7 linked regions of the Nothobranchius furzeri genome follow. The protein of the gene in region 1 purifies or fractionates together with the protein of each later gene. This does not show direct contact. Links are inferred from orthologs where the notes say so. Each region holds a gene or a part of one and is shown in the gene's direction. Other genes may lie near its edges.

The links.
Region 2: the proteins of mms19 (region 1) and rtel1 purify together in Homo sapiens (affinity purification with western blotting; 4 studies listed by BioGRID and IntAct, with this or other methods). This does not show direct contact. The link is inferred for Nothobranchius furzeri from reciprocal best matches to the Homo sapiens genes MMS19 and RTEL1.
Region 3: the proteins of mms19 (region 1) and ppat purify together in Homo sapiens (affinity purification with mass spectrometry; 3 studies listed by BioGRID and IntAct, with this or other methods). This does not show direct contact. The link is inferred for Nothobranchius furzeri from reciprocal best matches to the Homo sapiens genes MMS19 and PPAT.
Region 4: the proteins of mms19 (region 1) and ciao2b purify together in Homo sapiens (affinity purification with western blotting; 11 studies listed by BioGRID and IntAct, counting the BioPlex papers as one, with this or other methods). This does not show direct contact. The link is inferred for Nothobranchius furzeri from reciprocal best matches to the Homo sapiens genes MMS19 and CIAO2B.
Region 5: the proteins of mms19 (region 1) and brip1 purify together in Homo sapiens (affinity purification with western blotting; 3 studies listed by BioGRID and IntAct, with this or other methods). This does not show direct contact. The link is inferred for Nothobranchius furzeri from reciprocal best matches to the Homo sapiens genes MMS19 and BRIP1.
Region 6: the proteins of mms19 (region 1) and pold1 purify together in Homo sapiens (affinity purification with western blotting; 3 studies listed by BioGRID and IntAct, with this or other methods). This does not show direct contact. The link is inferred for Nothobranchius furzeri from reciprocal best matches to the Homo sapiens genes MMS19 and POLD1.
Region 7: the proteins of mms19 (region 1) and narfl purify together in Homo sapiens (affinity purification with mass spectrometry; 3 studies listed by BioGRID and IntAct, with this or other methods). This does not show direct contact. The link is inferred for Nothobranchius furzeri from reciprocal best matches to the Homo sapiens genes MMS19 and CIAO3.

The regions. Positions count from the first base shown.
Region 1 is NC_091756.1:28,170,986-28,174,485, reverse strand, and holds part of mms19 (MMS19 nucleotide excision repair protein homolog), read left to right. Parts: intron 1-963; coding exon 964-1,092; intron 1,093-1,168; coding exon 1,169-1,230; intron 1,231-3,221; coding exon 3,222-3,308; intron 3,309-3,386; coding exon 3,387-3,461; intron 3,462-3,500. UniProt on the Homo sapiens protein: Key component of the cytosolic iron-sulfur protein assembly (CIA) complex, a multiprotein complex that mediates the incorporation of iron-sulfur cluster into apoproteins specifically involved in DNA metabolism and genomic integrity.
Region 2 is NC_091755.1:45,470,236-45,473,735, forward strand, and holds part of rtel1 (regulator of telomere elongation helicase 1), read left to right. Parts: intron 1-834; coding exon 835-916; intron 917-1,112; coding exon 1,113-1,245; intron 1,246-1,850; coding exon 1,851-1,964; intron 1,965-2,214; coding exon 2,215-2,255; intron 2,256-3,147; coding exon 3,148-3,233; intron 3,234-3,305; coding exon 3,306-3,383; intron 3,384-3,500. UniProt on the Homo sapiens protein: A probable ATP-dependent DNA helicase implicated in telomere-length regulation, DNA repair and the maintenance of genomic stability. Acts as an anti-recombinase to counteract toxic recombination and limit crossover during meiosis.
Region 3 is NC_091748.1:40,604,852-40,608,918, reverse strand, and holds the start of ppat (amidophosphoribosyltransferase), read left to right. Parts: upstream 1-1,267; 5' UTR 1,268-1,625; coding exon 1,626-1,753; intron 1,754-3,700; coding exon of another isoform or gene 3,701-3,852; intron 3,853-4,067. Other genes in the region: paics (bifunctional phosphoribosylaminoimidazole carboxylase/phosphoribosylaminoimidazole succinocarboxamide synthetase), read right to left, coding at 84-262, 715-912, 987-1,023, 3,701-3,852. UniProt on the Homo sapiens protein: Catalyzes the formation of phosphoribosylamine from phosphoribosylpyrophosphate (PRPP) and glutamine.
Region 4 is NC_091752.1:28,659,461-28,663,552, reverse strand, and holds the start of ciao2b (cytosolic iron-sulfur assembly component 2B), read left to right. Parts: upstream 1-1,292; 5' UTR 1,293-1,468; coding exon 1,469-1,595; intron 1,596-1,865; coding exon 1,866-1,945; intron 1,946-4,036; coding exon 4,037-4,092.
Region 5 is NC_091753.1:22,952,023-22,955,522, forward strand, and holds part of brip1 (Fanconi anemia group J protein), read left to right. Parts: intron 1-1,592; coding exon 1,593-1,859; intron 1,860-3,420; coding exon 3,421-3,500. UniProt on the Homo sapiens protein: DNA-dependent ATPase and 5'-3' DNA helicase required for the maintenance of chromosomal stability. Acts late in the Fanconi anemia pathway, after FANCD2 ubiquitination.
Region 6 is NC_091752.1:51,276,356-51,279,855, forward strand, and holds part of pold1 (DNA polymerase delta catalytic subunit), read left to right. Parts: intron 1-538; coding exon 539-653; intron 654-794; coding exon 795-924; intron 925-1,026; coding exon 1,027-1,193; intron 1,194-1,273; coding exon 1,274-1,378; intron 1,379-1,492; coding exon 1,493-1,633; intron 1,634-1,716; coding exon 1,717-1,827; intron 1,828-1,991; coding exon 1,992-2,183; intron 2,184-2,853; coding exon 2,854-2,942; intron 2,943-3,020; coding exon 3,021-3,137; intron 3,138-3,225; coding exon 3,226-3,339; intron 3,340-3,500. UniProt on the Homo sapiens protein: As the catalytic component of the trimeric (Pol-delta3 complex) and tetrameric DNA polymerase delta complexes (Pol-delta4 complex), plays a crucial role in high fidelity genome replication, including in lagging strand synthesis, and repair.
Region 7 is NC_091752.1:55,723,568-55,727,542, reverse strand, and holds the start of narfl (cytosolic Fe-S cluster assembly factor narfl), read left to right. Parts: upstream 1-1,175; 5' UTR 1,176-1,223; coding exon 1,224-1,289; intron 1,290-3,267; coding exon 3,268-3,363; intron 3,364-3,441; coding exon 3,442-3,585; intron 3,586-3,675; coding exon 3,676-3,805; intron 3,806-3,885; coding exon 3,886-3,975. Other genes in the region: transcription factor E4F1, read right to left, coding at 1-3, 89-216, 465-648.

The DNA.
Region 1 (3,500 bases):
GAATCAGAATCGGAAATCTTTAGGAACCAGAATTGAAACAAGGAATTAGAATCGGAATTGTTCAAATTCAAACGTTGCCCAACCGTAATCATGAATGGATGTAGAGACAGGCCTACGAATGTAAATAAGGTTTATGTCAGTGGTGTCCAAAGTGGGACACACAGGCTATTTGTAGCCCTCATGGGGATTTTGAACAGTCCTGGGTGGTTCTGATAAATAATCCACACTTGTGTAGCTCCTTTCAGAGTCAGAGGACTCCAGAGCTCTTTACTCTACAGTGTATCACAGAGAATTCAGCTGATGGAGAAAATAGCTTCAGACGACAAGATTTAGACTCTTATTTCCTGATATTTGTCATCTCACATCTGATTGGATAACAGCAACACATCTCTACCACTGACTCTGCTCTACAATGGTAATGTTTCATCTCCACAAATAGCACAAGCCTGGAGGAGTTCTGCTGTCTGGTGGAGTTCCTAATGCTAATAGTTAGCTTCTACTAGCCAAAACGTTCTCAGCTGTTTCCTGGGAGCTAAACCCACAAGTTATATGTGATGTTTTTTGTTGTATTATTTGTGTTTTATAAAACAAAAATATTTCTGTAACAAAATTTTGTAACATAAATTGACTGAAGTCTCTGGAGCTCATGCAGCAATATTTTATAAACATTTAAGCTTCTGTGAATTTCTGCAGGAATATGAATAGATTTCTGCATTTGGTTATAGTTAAACTTTAAATAACAATATTTTACAGCACTAATGTAATGATTGATGGCGGCGTTAACACGAGAAACACGCTTTAGTCTTGGCTGCAATTAGACTAGCTGTTAGCCCATCAGTCTTGTCAGATTTGAACTGTTTCTCTGAACAGAGGCTGTTCAGTAAGCTGTCCACAATGGGACATTATATGTCCTTTTTAAAAAGCTTAATCAAAGTGGCTTTTTTCTGCTTGACGTTCCATCAGAGCTGAAAGGTTTGGGAGCCGACTTTGTTTTTGGATTTGTCCAGTCAATGGACGGAGAGAGGGATCCCCGCAACCTCCTGTTAGCCTTCCAGATAGCCAACAACATCATTCTGGGAGGATACAGTCTAGGTGAGGATCTTCTCACCGCACCATCCTCTGTTCCTCTTTTATTGTCACTGTTTCACCTTTTTACTTTCCCAATCAGGTAAATTCACAGAGGAGCTGTTCGAAGTGACGTCCTGCTACTTCCCCATAGACTTCACCCCTGTAAGTTCCTGTTCACTCAGCTGGTTGAGCTCATCACAGTTTGTTGCTGTCAGGCAAGACACTTAACCCCCCTTGCCTGCTGGTGGTGGTCGGAGGGACCGGTGGCGCCAGTGTATGGCAGCCTCGTCTGTCAATGCGCCCCAGGGTAGCTGTGGCTACATCGTAGCTCATCCCCACCAGGGTGTGAATGTGTGTGTGAATGGATGAATGACTGATTGCGTTGTAAAGCACCTTCAATCAATCTATTTATAGAGCGCCCTCCACTGCCTCTGCGGAAGCCCAAGGCACTGACCATGACATAGATTAAAATAAAAACAGATTGATAAAAAGTCCTAAAAACCACATACAAACATAAAAGCATGATGGAACACACACACACATATATATGTTAATATATGTATATATACTCTATGCCACATAGAGGATTTCACCTCGATAACGATAAATGGACGATAACTACAGGTATGCGCAGAAACAAAAGTTGTCCACTAGATGGAGCTGTGGCGTGTTTTAGTTGAGTCACATTTTTACATGACTCAAGGTGGTGCAGCGTCTTAAAGGTACATTAACGCTGCCAACCTACATACATCTTTTAATTTCTTATTATCAAATTTATTGACATGGGAACAATTATCTCGATAAGAGTCAGAAATTTAGATAACGATACATTTTTTATTTATTGCCCAGCCCTATTATATATACATCAGAGAAGGATAAGAAAAATAAAAACAAGTCACATAAAAGCCAAACGATAAACATGAGCCTTCACGTGACTCCTGGCCTGTATTTGACTCTTGAAGACAACAGGTGAGGGTGACTGTTTGATGCCAAGTGGCAACTCATTCCAGAGGGATGGAGCCAAGACCGAGAAAGCCCGATCTCATCTAGATCTGTACCGGGATTGAGGAACAGTCAGTAGCTCCAGCTCAGCCGAGCGTAGAGATCGTGAAGGGGTGTGACGTGTTAATAATGCTGCAAAGTATGGTGGAGCACCACCATATAGAGACCAGAAGACAAAGCAAAGGACGTTCAATAGACCACAGGAAGCCAGTGTAACAATGCCAGCACAGGAGTAATGTGCTGAATTTCCTCGTCCCTGTCGGCAAACGTAGGGGGTTCCAGGACTCTAGAAGGTGCTATATCAAATACAGGCCATTTACCATCACTGATGTTGGCAGAACAGACCGACTCTGGAGCAAAAAACTAAACCGTTTAGCGTAGGGATGGACAATATATCGGCATCAATGTCGGTATCGGCCGATTTTAGTCATTTTTTAACATATCTGTATCGGTTTGATAAATAAAACCGGGCCGATATTAACGACCAATATTTTTTCCATCTTGTCTTCATTTGTTTGCCTGTTTCAGAGGGTGAGGGGGTGATGTGTCTATGTTTAGTCATGTGAACAGTGAATGAAATCATCTCAGAACCATAAATGTGTGTGGTGTGTGTACATAATAATGTAAATTTGGCTTTAATAATTTTCGTTTTATACAAAATTACTGATTTTAGAAGCATTAATGTCAGTATTTCTGCATCTGCAAATATCGGTTATTGGCCATAGCAGTGATCTTAATATTGGATATCGGTATCGGCCCAAAAATGTTCATATCTGTGCATCACTAGTTTAGAGTCAAAGAGCCTCACACACACGCGATTGCTCTCAGGATTCTTTACTGTTGGAGGACACAGGACTGATGGGAGCACTCATCTTTTTTTCTTCAGGGGCTCCAAACAATCAGAAAATTATCCGTCATTTAAAGAGACTTGCATTCCAGTCTCTGAAGCTTTAGCAGAGCACGAGCCAAAACAAATCCTACACACTAGTTTCAGATATTCAGTAGATTCGTAATAAGTGAATCATTTTGGTTCATCTGATTGTATTTGACATTTTATCACCACTTGTTTAAGCTTTTCTTGGGTTTAATTTCCTGTAAATTATCTTGTTTTTTTCCTCTCTCTTCTTGTGACCACCTCTCACCCTCTCCAGCCCCCCAACGACCCCCATGGCATCACCAAAGAGGAGCTAATTCTGGCTCTGAGGACCGTCCTCACAGGGACTCCCAGCTTTGCAGAGGTGGGGCGGTATCGTGACATGACGATTATTCATTATGGTACAATTTCAGGATCTAAAAATGTTCTTGTCCATTTCCAGTTTCTGTTGCCACTCATCATTGAGAAGATGGACTCGGACATTCAGAGTGCAAAGCTGGATTCACTGCAGACTCTTGTGAGACTGACTACAGCCGCAGCTTAGAGAAGAATAAGC
Region 2 (3,500 bases), on another chromosome or scaffold:
TTTTTATACACACACACACCTGTTTCATTCACACACACACACACCTGTTTCATTCACACACACACCTGGTTTTTATACACACACACACCTGTTTCATTCACACACACACACCTGTTTTCATTCTCACACACACACACACACACACACACATACATGGATGCGCACACACACGGATGCACGCACATACACACACACACACACACACACACACACACACCTGTTTCATTCACACACACACACACTTGTTTCATTCACACACACCTGTTTTTATTCACACACACACCTGTTTTCATTCACACACACAAACACACCTGGTTTTTATACACACACACACACCTGGTTTTTATACACACACACACACACCTGGTTTTTATACACACACACACACACACACACCTGGTTTTTATACACACACACACACACACACACACCTGGTTTTTATATATACACACACACACACACACCTGGTTTTTATACACACACACACACACACACCTGATTTTTATACACACACACACACACACCTGTTTTTTATACACACACACCTATTTTTATTCTACTAATCCAGGTTTTCTGGGTGAGTGGTGTGCAGAACATTCCTCCTTAGTTCTAGTTTCACACACCAAAGCTGGAAATGAACGACTCCGTATTTATATTTAATTATAATATTCCTCGGTGCATGTTTGGGTCATGATCGTAGCAACGTGCTGCTTTAGTCTCCTACAGGTTTGACCCATTAGTGAATAAAACACCTAAAACCTGATTTTTGTCCTCATGTATGTCGATGGCCACTATGCTACGCTAACGTTAGCCGTTATGGTCCATCTGACTTAGGTTCACATCCATCGGGACACCAGCGCTGCCAAGAAGAAACAAGCGGCTGATCCGTGGGCTTCAGCTTCGTCCAAGAAACAAGGTCAGTCAGTTCACAACATTCAGAACTTTAACTTCAGTAACCAGACTCCATGTGGAACTCCTAGTGACCTGGAATAACATTTTGTGGCTGAGCTTTCCAAGAGAGAGAACAGTTTCTCTTTATTCTATCTTGTTAGTCAGCGTTTGCGTCTGTGAAGCAGCTTTGAACGCGTGTTTTTGTGTCGTGTGCGCCGTAGGAAACATCCTGAGTTACTGGTGCTTCTCACCGGGCTTCAGCATGCAGGAGCTGGTGAACCAGGGCGTTCGCTGCATCATTCTCACCAGCGGGACCCTCTCACCTCTGACCACCTTCACCTCTGAGATGAGGATGTGAGTTCACCACCAAAACAAACGAGTCCGATGTCTGATCAGATAAAGCAGATAAAGTGTGTTTCCAGAGGGGGGAATCCTGCTGCGACATTTATTTAATTATTCAGGTTCGTGGTCGGCCGATATCGTTTTTCCTATTGCCAGTACCGATGCCGATACTTCGAGGTCGCTGTCAGCTGATGGCCGACGTGTGTTGCTGATTATTTATTTATTTATTGCTGATTTTCATGGCTGATATTTAGGCGTTTGCACCTACTTTCATGCTAAAATGTCCCTAAAACTTCAGTTGATGCACAACATTTCTGCAGCTGAAGCAGCTTTTAAACGCTGAATTTAACCAAGTGGTAATTCTTAGTTTTGTGCACCGCTCACTGTTAAAATCAGATTTCTGACTAAAGTTATCCGTGTTAAATATTCAAAACTGGAAGGAAGAGAGATTTTAGAGCACTTGTTATGCCCCCTGATTCAGATTTATTACTAAACAATCACGCGAGGTTTAAATCGGTCTTACTAGACTCGTTTCTCTTCAGTGTTTCAGTTTTACGTTCTAGTTTGTTTAGGAGCGTTGAATGAAACCACGTTTCTTTTTCCTTGTTTTACTTTAGAGATTTCCCGGTGCTTCTTGAAAACGGTCATGTGATCAGCCGGGACCAGATCTATGTCCGAGTCCTGGATCAGGGTCCAGATTCGGTGGTGCTGAGCTCGGCGTTTAATCGGAGGTAAACGAGGACCAGCTGTAAGATCAGCGTCTTTTATCGCTGGTCAGCAGAAGAAGGTGTTGAATTCAACATTTTGTTGTTTTAACGAGTAAAGCTTCGGACCTAAAAACAACCTTTGTCTTCTTTAAACAAGTAAACAAAAGAACAGAACACATCATTTGTACAGATATGGAGTAATAACTGTTTTTCTCACATGAAGCTTTGCTAGTAGGTGTTTTTGCTGTGCTGCTTTAATATTTCTCCGTTTCAGGTTTATTCCTGAAGTCATGGCGTCTTTAGGCAACACTGTTGGTGAGTTGTGCTGTTATTACCGTGTTATAAATCAGTCAGCTGGTAGGGTTCGGGTCTTTCTGGGACGTTCTAGTTTCATGAACCTGATGCAGGTTTATTCGTCTCTTCCCTGTAGTTCTCAGCGGTTTGGGTTTCAGATGAATTTGAGTCTTGTTGAAGTCACCAAATCTCCGACTCGTAGTCGTGTGAAACCGCTGTTGCCCCGTAAGCTAGCGGCCGCTTGGCCGATCCAACGAGGGCCGACGGATCACCGGGTTATGACTTAGTAGCACCGTATGGGTTTTGTTCCTACCAGAGCGGTAAACTTCAGCACGAGCTGTAAAATGGACAGTTACGTTTGGGAATGCTGAGTCATGCTGGCTTTGGTACAACTCTTCTTCTACTGCCGTTCCTGATGGGTTGTTTCCTCATTACTGACGCCTGCAGTTCAGAAGGAAGTTTTTGCCCGTATGAATCCACTAATATTCACAAATAAAAGAAAATGTTCTATTTATTCTACAGGAAGAGGCTTTTGCGTCGCCGACGGTTAAACGTGTCCGCTCGGCTTTTATAATTAAAACGAGCTCTCGGACGACTAAACTGAGAACTGGACCCAGAATCGTTTTTTTATTTGATTTATTATTATTATTTATTTTCATTTTGCCTTTTTTTTCTGTTCAGATGTTTACTAATTACGACTGTTGTTGTTGTTGTTGTGTTTCTGGTTCTCTGCTGTGGAGCTGTTTGCTCACATCCGGGTTTATTTGGCCTGTTTTTGACATCAGCTGTTGTGTTTATTCCACATTAAAGCCGTTTCTGAGAAAGGCGGAGGAGCTTCTTTTCTGAGCTGGTAGATGTTAGATGATGGTTCTCCTCGTTTTGGTCTCGGGTTCCTGACGTGAGTTTGTTTCAGCTAACCTCTGTCGTTTGGTTCCTCGCGGCCTCCTGGTCTTTTTCCCGTCGTTCCTGTTGATGGAGAAGACCCTGGAGCTGTGGAGAGTGAGTAGAAACTTCCGATTAGGAAACTTTGGTTTTTGAATTTTAAATTTGTCTTTTTGTGTGTTTCTCCAGACGAAGGGACAAGCGAGTCACATCGAGATCCTGAAGCCCATGTTTGTAGAACCAAAGGGAAAGGGAACCTTTAGTGAGGTGATGTTGCCGGGATGAGCGATCCGGGTGTAAATGTTGTCAGAAGGAAATCAGATCATAGATACTTTATTAATCCCAGAGGGAAATTAGAGCGGATCAAAAGCTAAATTTGAGAAG
Region 3 (4,067 bases), on another chromosome or scaffold:
CAGCTTAGAGTCAGATGGGTTTTCTTGTCATATGTGAGAGAAATAACAACATTAGGAAATTGCTGCGGTACAGTTGGGCTTACTTTAAAGAACATCTCCATTTTTAGCGGGGAGAAGCGGTAGCCCTCTTTGACTCCTGGATTCCTCTTTAGGAAGGACCCAGTCGCCACCCTGCGGCACACCCACTCGATGGGGATCATCTCACAGTGGGCTGCGATGAAGGCCGTCTCAGAGTGCTGCTTCACAAAGGCAGTCTTAATGCCTGGGGAAAAATGTGCGTCGTATTAAGATAATCTCCAACTCTGAGAGGGGATTAAATAATTCCACTTGGAGAAACCACAAGACACGTTTAATTTAGAATTGATATTTTAATTAAATGCAGTAAAAGTTTAAAGATTTGAGCACGAGACTGACCTCAAGCCTAAATTAAATTCTGGTCAAGGAAGCCATGATTGGGGTTGTTATGGTGAATTAATGGCGGGAACACTGCAAGTCACAAGACTGTCATTACAACGGTTTGGTTAACGCACCAAACTCACGTGTGGTGCATGGCTGCTGATTATCCAGTTAGTCAAAGATCAAATGGCTTAAATTTGGAATAGTGTCCACCATGAAGGACACCAGCTCCAGTGCTGACTTCAGTGTTAGTTGTTAAGGAGAACCTTTGCTATCAAAAACAGGATAAACAGTTAGAAAACTTCACCGAGCGCTCACCAGATTCCTGGAGAAGTTTGAACACGCAGCACGTCGTTTTGTTGGCAATGGAGGCCTTTCCCTCCATTTGGTCCTTCCTCGCAGCGTTCCCAGCTGTGATTTGGTCTTTGGACTGGACCAGGACCAATCCAGGCTGGTCCACCAGCTCAAAAATCTGCTTGGTCTTTCCCTCATTAAGCTTCTTGCCCACGTTTAAATCTGAAAGCACACGCAACATTCAGACAATTTGATTTAATGCAACATCAAACGTGTGCAGGATATTCGCACGGTACCTGAGGAGGCCATGGTGCTGGTCGGGGTTGAAATGCCCTGAAAGACAAACCACAAACGCCCCACAAGTTGTTGTTAGGCGCAGCAGCAACAACAGCGGCGCGCGGACATGCAGCGGGAGGAGGAGAGAAGCGGGGCGTCTTACGTCCCTGCCGCAGCCAATCACATCGATCCAACGGATTAACCCAACCAATCACAGTGGTGGATTGCTATCACGTGGAGGATGCTCAAACTTTAACGAGGAGAAAAACTTCGACATGCCACCATGTTTTCTGGGATAAGGGAATTGATTTGTTACAAACCTCGCAGTCAGGACGTCCTTTGACCCACCAGAAACATTTAGTAACACCATTTTAGTTTGTGCAGCGCAACTCAGGTCCGTCTTGATTAATTACTGATAACATCCGGTGGTTTGTTGCTTCAGTTTGAAACAAACCTATCGACTACCCCTGCTCTGGCTCGTGATAGCAAGTTTAAACGGTGTCACCTGACGTTGTTGGCCACGTTGTGAGCACGTGTTTGAATACAATACGTGCACGCGCATGCTGATTTCTCACGGGCGAGCAGGCACGAGACCGCTCGTTTTGCGTTAACGGGGTAACCGGAGGACGAACGGGCAGAAATACAATAGTGGCGGTATCATGGAGTTCGAAGAGTCCGGTATCGGAGAGGAGTGTGGGGTTTTCGGCTGCGTTGCTGCCGGAGAGTGGCCCACGCAGCTGGAGGTGGCCCAGGTCCTGACTCTGGGACTGGTGGCGTTACAGCACAGGTAAGTAACGTAAAGGTGTTCAGAATAACTTAGTTACATTTGGCTAATGGCCTAATCTTCTGATTAGAGGCACGTTTAGGTGGGTGGAATCATGGAAAAAGATAAACTACAAGTAGTTATGGTACTTGTTAAAAAGTGCTCTGTTCTGGTGAAAATAATACATTTACAGAGGGTAATAATCTCAGGGAATTCCCTTGTAAAATAATCGAAGATTTTCTTCAAGTATAATAAAATCATAATTCAGTGATCTGTCTGTCTGTCTTATTTTAAAATAATGTTGTCCAACATCCCCAAACAGCTAATTTGTGTGAATCAGTGTTATGGTATCTGAAAGTCTGTAGGGAGAAGCTTCTCACAAGGTGGATTTCTGCTCCTTAAAAAAGTTTTAATCTAAAATGTTACAGTTGTTCATCCAAATACCTATTCACATTATTTTTAAACCTCAACACCTTCATCAATTTCTCATTACACTAGTATTCTGGTATAAACGTGAAATCTGATTGAAAGAGTCACTAATCTCCCCTTAAATCCAGCTGTAAATAACTAGAATTTTGTGTAAGAAAAGCATTACATAGCTGTGTCGATTGCAGCGGTGGCTGGTGAATTTTATTTTAGGTGAGGTGCATTTTTCAGATGCTTTAACCACACATCACCACTAGAGGTGCCAAATTACCATTCTTATGCGTCACACAACTCGAACCCGACGGACCCGGTACCAGGTCCACAAGCACTTCCAGCTACAAAGTTGTTCCAAAAACACAATCAACCAATATATGCAAACTGCACGTGCTTAACGGGAAGAGCCTCGTCTAAACGATATAATCTACACGGTCTACCTCAACAACACCCAGTGACGATAAGCCGCTAAATGAAAAGCAAAACTAAGCTAATTTCATGACGTCAAAAGCGTAAAATTTTTGAGACTAGAGGTTGTTTTTCTATTGACAGAAATCCACTTATGTACCTAACCCCATTAGGCTTGGGCGATATCCAAATTCTAATACCATCTAGCTCCCTCCACATTTTACCAAGGTGTATGGACCTCCACCATTCAGAAAATGAGTAACAAACACCATAACTAAAACAATAACAACACATATAATATTAACTACTTTTTAAGAACGCAGCTTATAAAAAGATTTTAAGCCTGGAAAACCAGCATGTTTACTTTTTCTGGCTTCAACCTCCGACTGCTGAAAACCGGCTTTGATGAGCTTGTGGCACCGGCATACGGGTACATTGGTGCTAGTCGTGACCAAAGTCGTGACATCTGGGGAAGGCTGGCATCATATCGTTCACCAGAAAAGTGCGTTGTTGTCTCTTAATAACAGGCTCGTGACATGAAGGTGCTATTTCTGCTGTTGCGACGGAGCATGCATCTTTTGCTGTTATCTTTTGTTTGCACAAATGACCTCATCCATGTTTACTGGCTTTCCTTCAAGTTTGCTTCTAACCAGAAATACTTCAAAAACTGCAGTTGTGTTGTTTTTACACACCGCAGTCAGTCAGCTGGTACGCGAGCGGCCATTTTTCCCTCGGCGCGCCATCCTCTGCGCTGTCACGTGATGACATCACGTTCATAAACTTTATTGAAAGTCTCAAAGTTTTTAAAACTCCAAAACGTTTAAAATGATTTAAGTAAAACTTAAAATTCCGTTTTATACAGTAAATGACTTACAGTATTTATCTTTTTTATTAGTTTTTTCCTTTTTAATCCTTGTCTCCTACGTGCACTGTTTTTCTCATGACGGTATCGGAACTGACACGGTTGCTAGTTTTAACACCGGCTGTTTACGGTAATACTGTAATAGCGCCTAAACCTAGGCCCCATACCTGGTTAGAATGTGTGTCTGTTTCTCTTAGCTGAGGCTGTTCACAGAGCTATCTAAAGCAGGTTAGATGACCAGTTGTTGGTAATACATCTGAATGATCTGTTTAAGGTCTTACCTGTCTTAGTGGGGCTGGGTGAGGAGGAGCCATTGAACAGACAGATTTGATCTTTATTATTGGGACGTGCTCCTGCTCCTCCTTGCACTGGGATCCCGCTTTGTCGGCAGGATCAGCTGTTCGTCTTTTTGCTGGTGTCTGAAGTTTGGAGTCTGAAAATAAAAATGTAAGCAGTAAAGGGAATTTAATGATTTTGTTCATTCAATAAAAATGAGTTTGATACACAACCTTGAGCCTGTTTTGTGGGTTTTTATACAACAGTACCCCCATCCATAATTTTATTATTTTGATCTGGTGGCAAATCATGTGACTGAGGCAGAAATAACAGAGACTTCAGTCATGTGTGGGCATCGTGTGACCTGCACAT
Region 4 (4,092 bases), on another chromosome or scaffold:
AGAAGCCACTAAACATACTTTAAACATTTTGGTAACAGAAATACTCATAGTGTAGAATTTCTGTTAATTTTCTACTTTAACTCATCAATGTTTCCTGTAGTTCATTGTACCAGTTTCACTGCTTTAGTTTGGGTCTGCCTCAATACTCTAAGTTTTAGTAATCCGCTGCAACCCTTTGTTAATGTATTTTTTGTAGGTGATTGTAATTCCTGGTTAGCCCTCTTTTCTACTTAAAGCATTGAAATTCTGTTGGTTTTCAACAATGTTTGTCTATAGTACACTGTAGCAGTTTTACTGCCTTAGTTTTAGTCTCCTGACACCTTCAGCTGACCACATTTAGTTCTTTTCTCAATTTTTTATTATGTTAGTCTTCTAGTTTTAGTATATCTAATTCCATAGTTCATTTTTGTGCTTGTGTGTTTTGTCTGTTCTTACTGCTGTAAAGCACCTTGAGTTGCCTCTGTGTGGGAAATGTGTTATATAAATAAAGCTGTCTTGTCTTGTCTTGTCGGTCCAAACCTATTTATGTCGATGGTCCAAACACGTTAAGGTTCTGAGATGAATTATTTGTATCATGTAGCAATGTGTGATACGTTTTTATGCCACAAGATGGGGTGCAAGTTCTATGTTAAAAGTGATCCTCAAGGAAAAGAGGCTGTTTAAAAACTTTATTTAACAAAATAGAAACCATAGAGGTTGTTGCACTTCAGATAAGTTGTTTCTTTTGGCGTGTGTTCAATAAAGACAAGAAAAGAAAGCTCCTGACTCTGTAATCCTTTCCTTTAAGTTTATTCCTGCAAAATATTCAACAATTTAAAATAATATGTCCGGACTTGTTTGGTTTGCTTTAGTACAGCATTCATACAGTTGACTCTCCCATATTTCAGTTAGAATTGAAAAAGCTCCTCGGATGAGAAGCGAAACGTCTTCAAGAATCCAAAGAAGTCCAGTTGCCTTCATTTAAACCCATGACCTGGATCACTGAGAACCTTCACCGGCATATTTAATCAGAATAACGTTCATATTTATCATGATGAGGCTTAATTGATATCAACAATCAGGGTGCGTTTGATTATTTGAAAATTTTTCAAAGAATGTGTCTTTCATTATTTAACTTTTCTTACTGGTAGGACATTAATCCACCAAAATTATCAATTAAAAAGTGACAGTTACATTTGTTGCATTTATTTAAAATTCTTATTACTATAGAAAATACATATTTTAACTTGGTCGGGTGTTTTTCGAAGCAAACGTTTAAATCTACGACTTTTAGCAGAATTCCAGCCTTTATTTTATTGGTTTGTTTCAGGGTGTTTTTCTCACTGGATGAGCGCTGTTTCTTTAAGAAGTTCATGACGTCACACGTCATTTCCCGTTTATCCCGGAAGTAAACCACTGGAGCTCTAGAGAAGTTTTTCAGATTGGGAGTGTTTTTTTAAGTTTATTTTGGGCTAAATCATACTTTAAAATGTCCCGAGGGGTCCAGATGGAAAACGCAAACCCCGTGATCTTCCAGCGCTGCAGGGACAGGCCGCTGACTGCGTCCGAAGAGGATGAAGACGTTCACGACCTCATCGACGACAGAGAAATATTCGATATCCTCGATCCCTTTCTCTGGTTTAGGCTAATTTAACTACTGAGAGGCGCAAAGAAACGTTTATTTTACTCAGATGATTAAATGGTACATTTCCTTAGGAAAACGTAGAGAAATCTAGCGAATTAAAATAAAAGCCTGACCACTGAAGTACGGGAGACATACATTATGTTTAGAGTGGCTTATATTATTATCTACAACTGCATCGATTACACATCAAAGAGAAAAGCTGTTTATTATATATTTTAAATAATTCTTTAACTGAAGTTACATCTGATCCGATCCATCAATGATCCAGAACATCCTTTGTCTCTTGAGGAACTCAATGTGGTGGAACAAGTTCGAGTCAAGGTATGTCCTCTCATTTGAGTCTAATTTATTAATTGTAAAACCAAACAAAAAAGGAAATTTAATATGGTGGGATAAATGTGAGCAAAACTAATGTGCTCACCAGTAGGGATAAACTGATATAGCTGGGCGATATTTACCTATAAATATATCGGCGTCAGCCTATAAAACGTATTAGTTAAACTGATTAAGGCAGGCACATCTTAGGGCAGCTTGGTGCTGTTGCATAATTTAATTTAAAATACTTTTTTACTTCCTGAATAACATCTGCATAATAAATTCTCACTATTTCTCAACTATAATTTACCAGCTTTGAATATTTAATATTTGGTCAATTCATAAATTTGTTTGATTAACTTTATTTAGATGTCTGACTTTAACACTGACCAGAGCACAAAATTAAGATTTAATAGTTAGTTAAATTCAGTGTTCAAAAACTGATTCAGCTTAAGAATTGTGTGCATCAGTTGATGTTATTAGTGACATTTTATCATTAAGTGGAAAATGTGTATATAAAATTAGCCCAAAACAAATATCGGCCATTATCGGCTGGTCATATCTCCTACACATCGGTATCGGCAATGGAAAAACCAATATCAGACGTCTTCCACTCACAAGTTCTCCATATTTTTTTAAATAGGTTAGGGATCAAGTCGAAGTTTGACACTTTGGTCCTTTTACGCTACTGACATTTGTCCCAAATTCCGTGTAAAATATCAGTTTCATTTATTGGATTTATATAGTACATTAAAGGTTATATGTCCAGATCATCAAAGTGTTGTTCAAATGAAAAACAATGAACAAAGAGACAGAATCAGTAAAAAGTGGAGGTGCATCGATCTATTGGCCCTGATCTCGGGTTTTTTTTCAAGATCGAGGATCGACCGTAAACTGCAATTGGTTCCCCCCTTGTTAATGTTAAAGCAAATCATTGATATAAAAAAATTATTTGGACAAGTGTGTCAAAAGTTTTGTTTTCAAAATTAGAAAAATGAAAGTCTTAAGGAACTGACAGATTTTTCTCAAGATCGGTGGTCAGCCAAAAACTGCAATTGCTGCACCCCCTTAGTAGAAAGTGAGGAATAAACTAGAATAACACAATGCTACAAAGTGCTAAAAGCCTTTTTGATTAATAAAGTTTTAAGTTTGGATAGAAAATGGCTCAGGTCAGTGACCACACGTAAATCTAAAGGTAGCTGGTTCCAGGGCGACACAACCGAGAGCTCAGTCACCCCAGTGATTAAATGTAGTTCTTGGAAGTTTGAGGAGAAATGGAGATGAAGACCTCAGCGATCTGACACGGACACTCGGTTAATCTGAGACGTAAGGTGGGGCCAAACAATTAAGAGCTTTAAAACAAACAAAAGTTTAAAATCTTTCCCAAAACAAACAGAAGCGAGTGGAGGGAAAATAAAACCAGAGCTATGGGCGCACATCTTGAGGTGTCTTTTAAAAGGTGAGTGGCTGATTTTTTGACCAAATGAAGCATTTTCATGGACGGCTGTAGGAAACTAACATGAAGAACATTACAGTAGTCAATTGTCATGCTGATAAAGGCACGAATCATCTCCTGGAGGTAAAATATTGACATTTGAATTTGCCAAATGTAATTGTCAAAATGATTTAATAGTGTTTTCAGGCCTTGTATACTAGCAAACATATCAAGCTAAATAAACATTTTAAAGAAGATAATACAAATGTGTCGAAGCTCCAGCTTATGTCCGAGTTCACTGCTGAATGGTGTTAAAAGCACTGAAGAAATCAGTAAGCCTGGTCCTCACAGTGCTTCCAGGCTGCTCCGGCTGGGCCACAGCTCAGTGGACGGTGGCATCGCTCCTAATACCTGGCTGGTAGGTGAGCTGCAGAAGAGTCAATGAAGACCTCACCAGGGGGCGAAGAAGGTTCAGATTGCAGTTGTATTTATTTTTGGCTGAGCTTTTTATAAAACAACACATATTTGCAGGTCAACAAACGTATTAGAGCACAGGCGTAAAATCAGTCTACTTATTGACAAGATTTCAATAGTTAAGCCCAGGTTTGCTGCTCAGAAAAATCTAATGACTACTTTTTGTGCTTTTGTCATTTTTTAAATAGGTCAATGATGCAGAAAGCACGGTAGGTGTTGAGTTTACACCCACCATACCACACTG
Region 5 (3,500 bases), on another chromosome or scaffold:
GCCTTTCAAAGACTAGTCGCTGTCACGTGATAATGACAGACAAGATGCAGTCCTCGGAAAAGACAGCAGGTGACCAGCCCCTGCGTGTTGGGAGGCGACGCGCTGTGCCACCGCGTCGTATCTGACTCCCGCGGAAAAACAGACATTTGACCAAATTGTGACCTTTACCCTCTTGCAATTTAACCTTCCCCTCACCCCCATCCTAACCTTAACCAGCTTGTGCATGCAAAGCTCTGATCGTTGACACGCTTCAGACATCTGCATCCTGAGCACGGCCACAGTAACATTATCAAATTAGGTGTCGCCACCTCAAAAACTAATTTAACACGCGATCGTTCATGTTGGCTCATTTCCTTTTATGTTTGAAGCAGGGGAACAGTAAAGATGCAGAAACTACCATTGTGTTTAACGTTGCAAATGTGGGGGCAATTTTAATTGTCAAAAACTCCAGCGAACCAACCCACTTCAGGTGTATGACGTCATCAACGACTAGTCAAAGTCGACTCGATTTTAATTACTTGACTTAAAAAAGTTAAGTCATGCAGCCCGTACTCCACATTCAGTGTTACTGCAAAATTAAGTTTGTTTCCAAATGAAAAGGTTCAACCGTTCATATCTGTAGTAAAGGCAAATGTGCACATTTGCAGTCACTTTTGAAAAAATATTGAGTTTGGCCCGCAACTTCGTCCCAGTTTTTCATTTTGGCCCAGAGCAAATTTGAGTTCGACACCCCTGCCTTAAGCTGGGTTTATGCTTGACACATTCACTTTCCGCTTGGTGATGCGGCTCGCGGCTGGAACGCGCTTCACAACTCTCAGCATTTATGGTTCATGCGGCTTGTCTCTGTGGTGAGCCAATATTCTCCCAAGCTGTAGGGGGCAGCATGGAGCTCTATGGCATGCATCCAACACTACACCATAGTAGAAGTAAAAATTACTGTTTACAACATGGCATTCCAGCAATTTTAACAGCGTCCTCGTCTTTTCCAACAGTGCGAGCTATTTCTCTCCAAGAATTATTAACATGTTGATCATGGCGATCTCTGAGAGCTGAATCATACAAATGTCTGTATTTACAAACCTCTGCCATACTAGTTCTTGCCAGTCCGCGATGTTTTTCCGCGTCCGACCGTCCGCGTGGTTAGAAAATTTCCTAGGTGCGCGGTGCGGAAATTTTGGGCCGTGCGGAGGTGCGGTGGAGGGGTGTGGTTGTTAAAATGACGCAATTTAGCCGCGCGGACCTCACGGACGCGTCAAGCATAAACCAATCTTTAGTATACCTCCCTGGTTGGAAGGTAGGCCCTTTGACATAATCTGGGACTTTCAGGGAGGACGTAGAGCACTCACTGCTGACGTAGCTCAGACCTTAGTGGAAACACAACAAACCAGGAGGAAAAGTAATGTTGTGCTTTTTGGCCACGTATTTGAAATGTGTCTTTATTGGGAAGTAAGCTCAGATAAATGTCTAAAATGATCCTACAGGTGTGTATAGCTGAACCCCACCCAGTAAGCCAGACCCACACCACCACTCTAGCGCTGTACGTGATGAGATGTTGAGAACATCCAGTGAACCTGTTCTGTGTGTGTGTCCAGATGTCTGAGCCCTGCTCCCACTGCCCTTGTGCCTCAGCCAAAGATGGTGTGAAGGACAAAGATGGCAAAAAGAAGATTCCAAAGATTTTCTTTGGCACACGCACCCATAAACAGATTACTCAGATTGCACATGAGCTGAAGCGCACAGCGTACTCCAGCGTACAGATGACCATCTTGTCCAGCAGAAAGCACACCTGTGTTCATTCAGATGTGGTACCTCACTTCAACCGCAACGAGCTGTGCAAGGAGCTGCTGGAGGACAAAGAGGTGAGGAACGGACACACACACACACACACACACACACACACACACACACACACAAAACATCATGTGAAAAACAACAAAGATTCATCAGGAAGTGTGGGACATGCAGTTACTGACACACCTAACACTGAGGAGAGTCACATAATGAACACATAGCCTCAGAGAAGCAATTATACACAATTGGTTGACAGAACTTTTTTGACACTCTAGAATATCAAGGACCATTTTTGGAGATGTGATACACTTGTAACCTCCTATAATGTCCTGAAGTTCGGGCGCCTACTGTAATATAGACAATTATGTTGTCATTAGAGGTGTTAGCCTCCCATAGCAATCATCTCACTTTTGTCATGAAAAGCTGCCCTCGAAATAACCCCCCCCCCCCCCCCCCCCCCACACACACACACATAAGCAGGTGTCACTGACACCCTGAGTGTGTGTGTGTGTGTGTGTGTGTGTGTGTGACCTAAGGGTCTGGTTCAGTCATTGTCAGGTTATGCTGCAGTACTGACTCTGATGCACAGAGAAACTGCTCCTAACACAACAGCTTCCTGGACACTTTGGTCAGAGTTGTTCTGAGGGTAGCTGGAGGCCTTAACACCCCCCCACCCTCCCACACACACACCCCTACCCTCAAAACAGCTGTGTGACTCTGCCACCAGGGCTTGGTGTCTATGAAAGGTCCATGCTTAGCACAGCTCGAAGAGAAGAGGACCATATTATCCACAGATGATTGCTTTGTCTGTAGCCGGGTCCACCTATGTGAAGTGTTTTTGTGACAGTGTCACCTTAAGCTGTTAAAGTCACAAAGAACAGGGTGGGACATCTAAGAGGACACGTCTACTTGTAGTAGTCAGGACTAGCTGCAGGATAGGCTACATGCACCGTATCAATGTCTGAACGTGTAAGCTGTACACGGAAAAATACATAAAATACTTTAAAATAAAAACTCAGTTATTTTTGTTTTAATGTTAATAGTTAATAATTAATATGCTGTATTGTTGTATGGTCATAAAGCCAGCCTGATAAAACTGGGCTTCCAGATGTTTCCAATGCTCAAGTGTGATGAGCAGATGATCAGCTGTAGAAGATGAGTCGTAGCTCTGCTTTTGACTTTGCCACATTGACCAGGGTCATAGTAATAAAATGTTTAAACTTACAGATATGTGTAAAAAGTGTTTTTGATGGTTCCATGCAGTAGAAGGTCATTGTGAGTTCTGTTTATAGTTTCTGAGTGGGAGAAGTTCACTCTGAGTCCAGAATGTCTGCAACTAAAATATTTGTAGCATTATTAGATGACAAGAGGCCCAAACACTGGGAATATTTAATATTTGGGTCAACTTCTTGTAATTGTCAGTAAAAAACCTTTGAAACCTCGAGTGGTTCTACTCCAGTAACCATAGAAACATCTGGCGGAAAATTAAACAAACTTTGAAACCAGAGTTTCTTAACCTTTGACCACCTTTGTAGACCCACACATTTTATTAAGATATAAACCAGTTTTGGCAAATTGGTTTAACATCACCACTTCTCTGAATGAAGCTGTTAAATGTGTGCCTTACAGGGGCGCTCGTGTCGCTACTACCATGGAGTCAAAAAGATGGGAACTCAGCATTTACTGCAGTCAGTCCATGGACTGTGTGG
Region 6 (3,500 bases), on another chromosome or scaffold:
CTACCCCTTTTTCCTGCATTAGCTTCTGATAGAAAGTAGATGGGGAAAGACTCGGATTAGAAAAGCTAGTCAGATCTATGTCGCACAGAAAATTAGCGTTCATGGACTCGCCCATCTTGGCTCATGACAGGGAAGGCTGTTCTTGGTTTAGCCTCTAGGAGAGGGCAGAGAGCATCCCAGCTAGAAGAGGCTAACCATTAGTGTTAGCATCTCTGCAACATGGCAGAACTCATTCAGACTTACAAAAAAAAAAAAAAAGGTGGTGGAAGACACGTTGTTGTTGTTAGCCAATCAGAGGTGAGATCAGAATATCAGGAAACGATAATGAGTAAAATTCCAAATCCTGCTGTTTTCCGCCACCATTCTCCGTCTAACTTCTGCTTCCTGCAACAGGAGCGCCAACGCCAGAGCTTTTGTCCTCTCACAGAGAACGACACACAAGGCATTCATTTATAGTAGAGACCACAGCAGATGTATTGAAAACAAACAAACAAGTGAATCAGAGCTGTAAAGCCTAAAAGCATCCCTGTGTTCCCAGGTTCATGGTGGACAGCGATGTTGTGGGATGCTGTTGGATCGAACTTCCCAAAGGCAAGTACAGAGTACGCGAAGAGAAGAGCCACGGGGACACAGATTCTCAGCATCCAGGAAAGGTCGGTCCTGTTTTCCTTCATAGTGTGTGCTGTAATCTGCGTGACAACCATACTACCGATTTACAGATTTTTTTCCTTGTTTTCTGTTTTTACATCAAGAATGTTAGAGCGGTGGTTGAGATTTTTGCTTTTGCCCTGCAGGTTTCGCTGTGCCAGTATGAGGTGGATGTTGGATGGACGGATCTGATCAGTCACCCTGCAGAAGGAGACTGGCAGAGGATAGCCCCTCTCAGAGTCCTCAGCTTCGACATCGAGTGTGCAGGAAGAAAAGGTAATACGAAGGCTTCTGTATTGTACCAAATATCAGTAAATGATTTAAACACGTCTCCAAGGCTTTGACAAACTCTTTTAAGATGCATTTGTTTCTTTCCAGGAATCTTCCCAGAACCAGACAAAGATCCTGTGATTCAGATCGCATCTATGGTCCAACGTCAGGGGGAGACGGAGCCTTTCATCCGAACCGTCTTCACCCTTCAGCCCTGTGCTAGCATCGTTGGCTCGCAGATCTTCTGCTTCACTCAGGAGAAGCAGCTTCTTCAGGTAACGGCTCACGCCGGGAGGTTTGTCCCTTTATTACGGTGTCCCTTATCCGTCCTGTTATCTTGTCTCTGTGTGAGCAGAGCTGGGCGGAGTTTCTGAGGACGGTGGACCCAGACATCATAACTGGATACAACATCCAGAACTTTGACTTTCCCTATTTGCTCAACAGGGCAGCTGCTTTAAAGGTTTGGCAGAGACACGTTTAATCTGTGTTGAAATATAAGAAATCTCCCTCTTTGCTTTGAAAAAGATGTTATGTTTTCTCCTCCACCTTTGGTAAAATGTTCACGACTTTCCAGGTGACTTATTTTCCGTACTTGGGTCGAATGCGGGGCAAACGGTCCGTTTTACGAGAGTCGAGTTTCCAGAGTAAGCAGATGGGTCGCAGGGAGAACAAAACCATCAACATGGAAGGTCGAGTCCAGTTTGATCTGCTGCAGGTCGGCATGTAGCTTCTGGTTACTCTACACTAGGCTCTGTGAGTGATGTTTTCAGGATATGTCTGTTTGTGTGATTCTCTCAGGTCCTCCTTAGGGATTACAAACTACGCTCCTACACTCTGAATGCTGTAAGCTTTCATTTCCTGCAAGAGCAAAAGGAGGACGTGCAGCACTCCATCATCACCGATCTGCAGGTAGGAGTCCATGGGTCGGGTTATGGCCCCTTCAGGTTTGACTGCTTTTATAAATTGTTAGGTCAGATAATTGCCTTGCTTTGATGAGTTGAGATAGAACAAGAGATGCATATATATATTTTTTCAGTTTTTAATCTCTTATCGTCTGTTTCCCTCCTCACCAGAATGGAAATGAACAAACGCGGCGTAGACTGGCGGTCTACTGTCTGAAAGACGCCTATCTGCCGCTGCGGCTGTTGCAGAAGCTCATGTGTGTGATTAACTACATGGAGATGGCCAGAGTGACTGGAGTACCGCTCACCTACCTGCTCTCAAGAGGACAGCAGATCAAAGTCGTGTCTCAGCTGTTGAGACAGGTGAGGAAAAACAATCTCAAACTCAAAACGGTTTTGTTTACGTTACAGAGGTGCACTTGTGTGTTTTCACCTTGTGACATGAGCCTGGCTCACCTGGAGTCTCTGTGTAGATGCTACCTACCATAACATCTGATAAGCTGTAACAAGAGCAAAGTAAGTGGAAGCTGGTTTAGACCCAGATTGGAGCGAGTGGTGAATAACACTTTACCCGACTCGCCTGTCCTCTTTCTGTGGAGGCAGTAGTTCGTCTGATCTCTTCTCATTCTCAGTTAAACTTTTGCTTTTTCACAAATGCCACCAGATCACACATGACCGTGCAGCTCTGTGAGAATCAGACATATTTATCCAGCAGGGATTCATATAAACATGGGGTTGGCTTTTAAATGCACACATAATACCTCATGCATAGTCAGTGGGCTGTCTTGAATGGCTGAGAGAGAGATGCTGTTCGGTTTGCAGCTCAGAATGAGGCAAGGATTCATCACTAACCCTAAATGATATTCAGAAAGTGCCTAAGCATTTACTGCTGCTTCCAACTAGACTTTAAAGAACAGTACGTTGGAATAATATCAGTTTCTTTACAAAATCAGTGCCAGAAAGGCTCAAACTGTGCAGCTCCAGCTCATGTTGGGGTGTGTGTAGAAAATAATGTGTGTGTTTTCTGTTCTAGGCGATGAAACAGGACCTGGTGATGCCGGTAGTAAAGACAGAAATTGGGGAGGACTACACTGGAGCTACGGTCATCGAACCAGAGAAAGGGTGGGGGCATATTTACTGGTTATGCTGGTATGGAGCCACACTCCTCCTCCTGTGTGTCTGATTAAAACTGGTTTGTAGATATTACAGCCTTCCTATTGCCACCCTGGACTTTTCGTCTCTGTATCCATCCATCATGATGGCTCACAACCTTTGTTACACCACGCTGCTGCAGAAAGGATCTGCAGAAAAACTGGGGTGAACATGTTGTTTTTTTTTTTTTTTTGTTATTGTTCTCATTAGCTGTAGCTGTTAATTTTTAAAATGCTTTACTGTACATCTGCAGATTATCATCTGAAGATTTCATCAAGACTCCAACAGGTGACCAGTTTGTAAAGAGTTCTGTGAGGAAAGGACTTCTCCCGGAGATCCTGGAGAATCTGCTTGCTGCAAGAAAAAGGTTAGAGCTAAAAGAACAATCACCAATTGATTATTTAATTGAAAGCAGAATTTCCATAGGATCCCATTTCTTCCAATAAAAACTAGGGGTGCAACGGTACGCTAAACTCGTATTCGGTTCGTTTCAGTGTTTTGAAGGGCTTGGTTCGATTAATTTTCGGT
Region 7 (3,975 bases), on another chromosome or scaffold:
GACCTGCATATATGAGGACACCAATGCTACTTCTCTTGATGCCGTTTAGACTGATTTATCCACACAGCCCCACCCAGATAGCTCCTACCTTTTGGCCGCCATCCTGACTAGCATTCTGAGCCTCCACACGTTTGCAGCCGTGCTGCAGTTTGTGCTGGATGAAAGCCTCAAGGGTGGAGAACTCGGACTGGCAGCGACCACATTTGTGCACATCATCTAGTAGCACAGAAACGGACCCAACCAGCATGAACCAATATCATAATTAGTGCCACAAACTGATTACTGTTTAATGTATTCGTGTCTGATTCACCCCAAACAGTGTGTACTTCCACCTAAAAATACGAAACTATGCTGCTCGTGTCAGTTAGCTGTTAGCTAGACATCACCTCGGTGAAAGTTAGCGTAGCCCAAACGCGTTAAATGATAAACAAATTCGGCTTGTTTGATACAGCCAGGTGACAAACCTTCATCTCCTAGTGTGGTCTGAATAGTAATGGTCTCGTTGCCGTTCTTCTCTGTTTCTGCCGTATGATTATTTTCCACATTCATGTCGTTTGAATTCTCCGTCTCTGTCGCAACGCTGCAGCGGGGAGGGAAAACATGGCGGATTACGACCCCGTAGTCATAACAACAAAAGGGCGCGTGCATGATTCTCTCACAGCTAATAAAGTGAAATTAAACATTTCTGATTTCGTTTTAGTCACCTTAATTTTTTCTTCAGTAAAATAGACAGGATTCACTCTGCTGCGTTGCTTTCATAGGCTATGATTTTGGCCAAATGTTTCTCTACAAATAAATTATTGTTTTTCATTCAGCTACAGGCACTTTTTATATTTAGAATGAGCAACAGAGAAAAGTAATGCTATTTGTTGTAGGAATAAAATGAAATATTACTTATGGACGTCTTCATGTCCAGTCCTACAACTAACAAGTGTTATTTGGGCAAATGTTAAAAACAAACAAACAAACAAAAAATAAACATTTTTACATCTCTGATATTTACATTTAATTTGTTCCATTGTTACAGAGAAAGTTAAATATACATTTTTTTGGTACTTATTATTAAAAATTTGATAGTTTGTCATTTGACCAAAATGAATGATAATTTAACATATGATAAGAGGTATTTAGTTTGATCACGCCTGTCTTGTAACCATAGACTGTACAGCTTGTAACCCAGTATTCACGACACAAGAGTAAACAACAACTTTACGGTAGTAAACATGGCTTCCCACTTCAGCGGAGTCTTGCAGCTAACAGATCTCGATGATTTTATCACTCCTTCTCAGGTCGGTCACTGAAATAATGTGAAATTAAGTCGTGTATTGGATTAATTACAAGTGGGTGAAACAGTAATTATGAACAATTCACCGGTCGTGACATTTAGGGAACAATTGACGGATTAATTATGGCGATGTAGCAGCTAGCACACGATTAGGCTTTTCGTAGAGAGAAACTTCTCATAAAATATAGGAACATTGAGTATTGGCTGAAGCTCATCACGAGTCGATGATTACTTTTTGATTTGTAACAAGTTGTAAAGTTTTACTTTTTTAAAACTATGGCGTAATTACGTCACTAGTCCATGCCGTAACCTGTGTAAAGACAAATTAAATCACTGAAATAAAACACTTTCAAAGACTAAATTAAATCAATCGTATTGGCTGACATATTCAGACATTTTTAAACACACTAAATGTCAGTTATAGGCAAATAAAGACAAACTATATTTTAGCTAGTTCTTTAGAAGAAGAAGAAAATATTTCTATAGTGCCTCTCAAGATAAAAATCAGGAGGCGCTTCACAAAAACAAAACATGTAAAAATATAAAAACGAATTTAGAAAATGGTTAAAAATATATTTAAAATGTGCAAGAAATAGACACTAGTGATTAAAAAACAAAATGTTAAGAAAGAGAGAGAGAGAGTGAGTAGGAAAGAGGGAAATCAGTGGATCCTGAGGAAGGTGGAATAGGTGGGGAGAGCAGAATAAAGAGAGAGTGGTGAAGAAGGTCATACCAAAGCCAGCTTGAACAAGTGTGTTTTCAGCTGCTTTTTAAATGAGACCACTGAGTCCACTGATCTCAGACTCAGGGGGAGAGAGTTCCAGAGTCTGGGGGCCACAGGATGTGCTGAAGAGGGAGCAGATAGAGGAGGAAGAGCAGAGGCCCCAGCACAGAACCTTGTGGGACACCATGGGTAAGAGAGGTGGTGGAGGACCTAAACTTGGAGACGGCCACAGAAAAGGAGCGCTCAGAAAGATAAGAGGAGAACCACTCCAGAGCAGATCCTGATAGGCCGACCCAGTCTCTCAGCCTCTCCAGTAGCAGGTGATGGTCAACAGTGTCAAAGGCTGCAGTCAGGTCCAGCAGGACCAGGACAGAACAGTCCCCTGCATCACTGTGAGTCAGAAGGTCATTAGAGACCCTAAGAAGAGCTGTTTCAGTAGAATGAGCTCTACGAAAACCTGACTGAAAGCTATCATAGATGTTATGTTCATCAAGAGCAGCTGTGAATTGTTTAGCCACAACCTTTTCCAAGATCTTGGAGATGAACGGAAGTTTAGAGATGGGTCTGAAGCTGCTATGGAGAGAGGGGTCAAGACTCGGTTTTTTAAGAAGCGGATGGATTACAGCATTCTTAAAGTAAGCAGGGACCTGACCAGAAACCAGAGAAGCATTATTTATAGAGCGCACGCTGGGACCGATGGACTGAAAAGCAATTTTAAACAAAGATGAGGGTAAGATGACGAGGGGGCATGCAGAGGTCTTCATAGAGTTAACTAGTTTGGTTAACTCAGGCAAAGAAACAGGAGCAAAGCTATCTAGGATGATGGGCCTGGTTGGAGTCGGGAGAGGCAGCGGTAAGGCTGAAGGAGAGATGCTAGATCTAACCTTATTGACTTTGTCCACAAAGAAAGACAGAAAGTTCTCACAGTCTGCAACAGAGTGGATGGAGGCTGTAGGAGAGGCAGGAGAGACAATGCTGCTGATGGTGTTAAACAGCACCTTGGGGTTCCCTTTGTTTTTATTAAACAATTGAAAAATTGAGGACACTCTCAGTATGAAGTAATGAAATTTTTCTTAGACCCAAATGAATCAGTAATGTTTTGTTTTTTCTTATGAAAACAGATAATTTTGTGTAAATTTTACAGTTTTTCAGATTATTCTCCCCATGCAATAGTGCTTAGTCATATTTCTCAGATGCTTTTGGATGTGATGATTGATCTCATTTACAATAGCGGTTTACACATTGGTGTGTTTTCCAGGAATGTGTTAAACCAGTCAAAGTAGAGAAGAAACAGGGTAAATCTGTGGCCAAAATCCAAATAGAAGATGACGGCAGCTATGTGCAGGTCAACCAGGTGGGTATCCTTGCTCAGTCTTTAATCAGTTTGAGAATTATTAAACCAAGTTTGAATGAACACACCCTGTGTTTACAGGATGGTGGGAAGCAGAAGCTGGAGAAGGCCAAGATCACACTGAACGACTGTCTGGCCTGCAGTGGCTGTATCACCTCGGCTGAGAGTGTCCTCATCACTCAGCAGAGCCACGAGGAGCTTTTAAAAGTGCTGCGCAACAACAAGGTAGACGTGTGTCTCTGAGCTTGTTCATTTTTGTTTTGCAAGTTTTGCATTCCGTCTAACCTTAATACAATAAGTGTTGTGATTATTTAGATTAACGAAGCAGAAAAGAAGATTGTAGTTGTGTCGGTGTCGCCTCAGTCCAGAGCCTCCCTGGCAGCTCACTACAACCTCAGCAGCAGTGAGGCAGGCAGGAGGCTCACAGCTTACCTCAAAAACCTGGGTGTGGACCTTTTCTGTTTTTATATCATGCAACACCTAAGCAGATAATCTGAAGATTATTCCTGGGGGTGCTTTTGGCAGGGGTTCATTGCGTGTTTGACACCAGCTTCAGTCGGACCTTCAGTCTGTTGGAGAGTCAGAGGGAGTTTGTGGAGCGTTTCCATCGGAAGG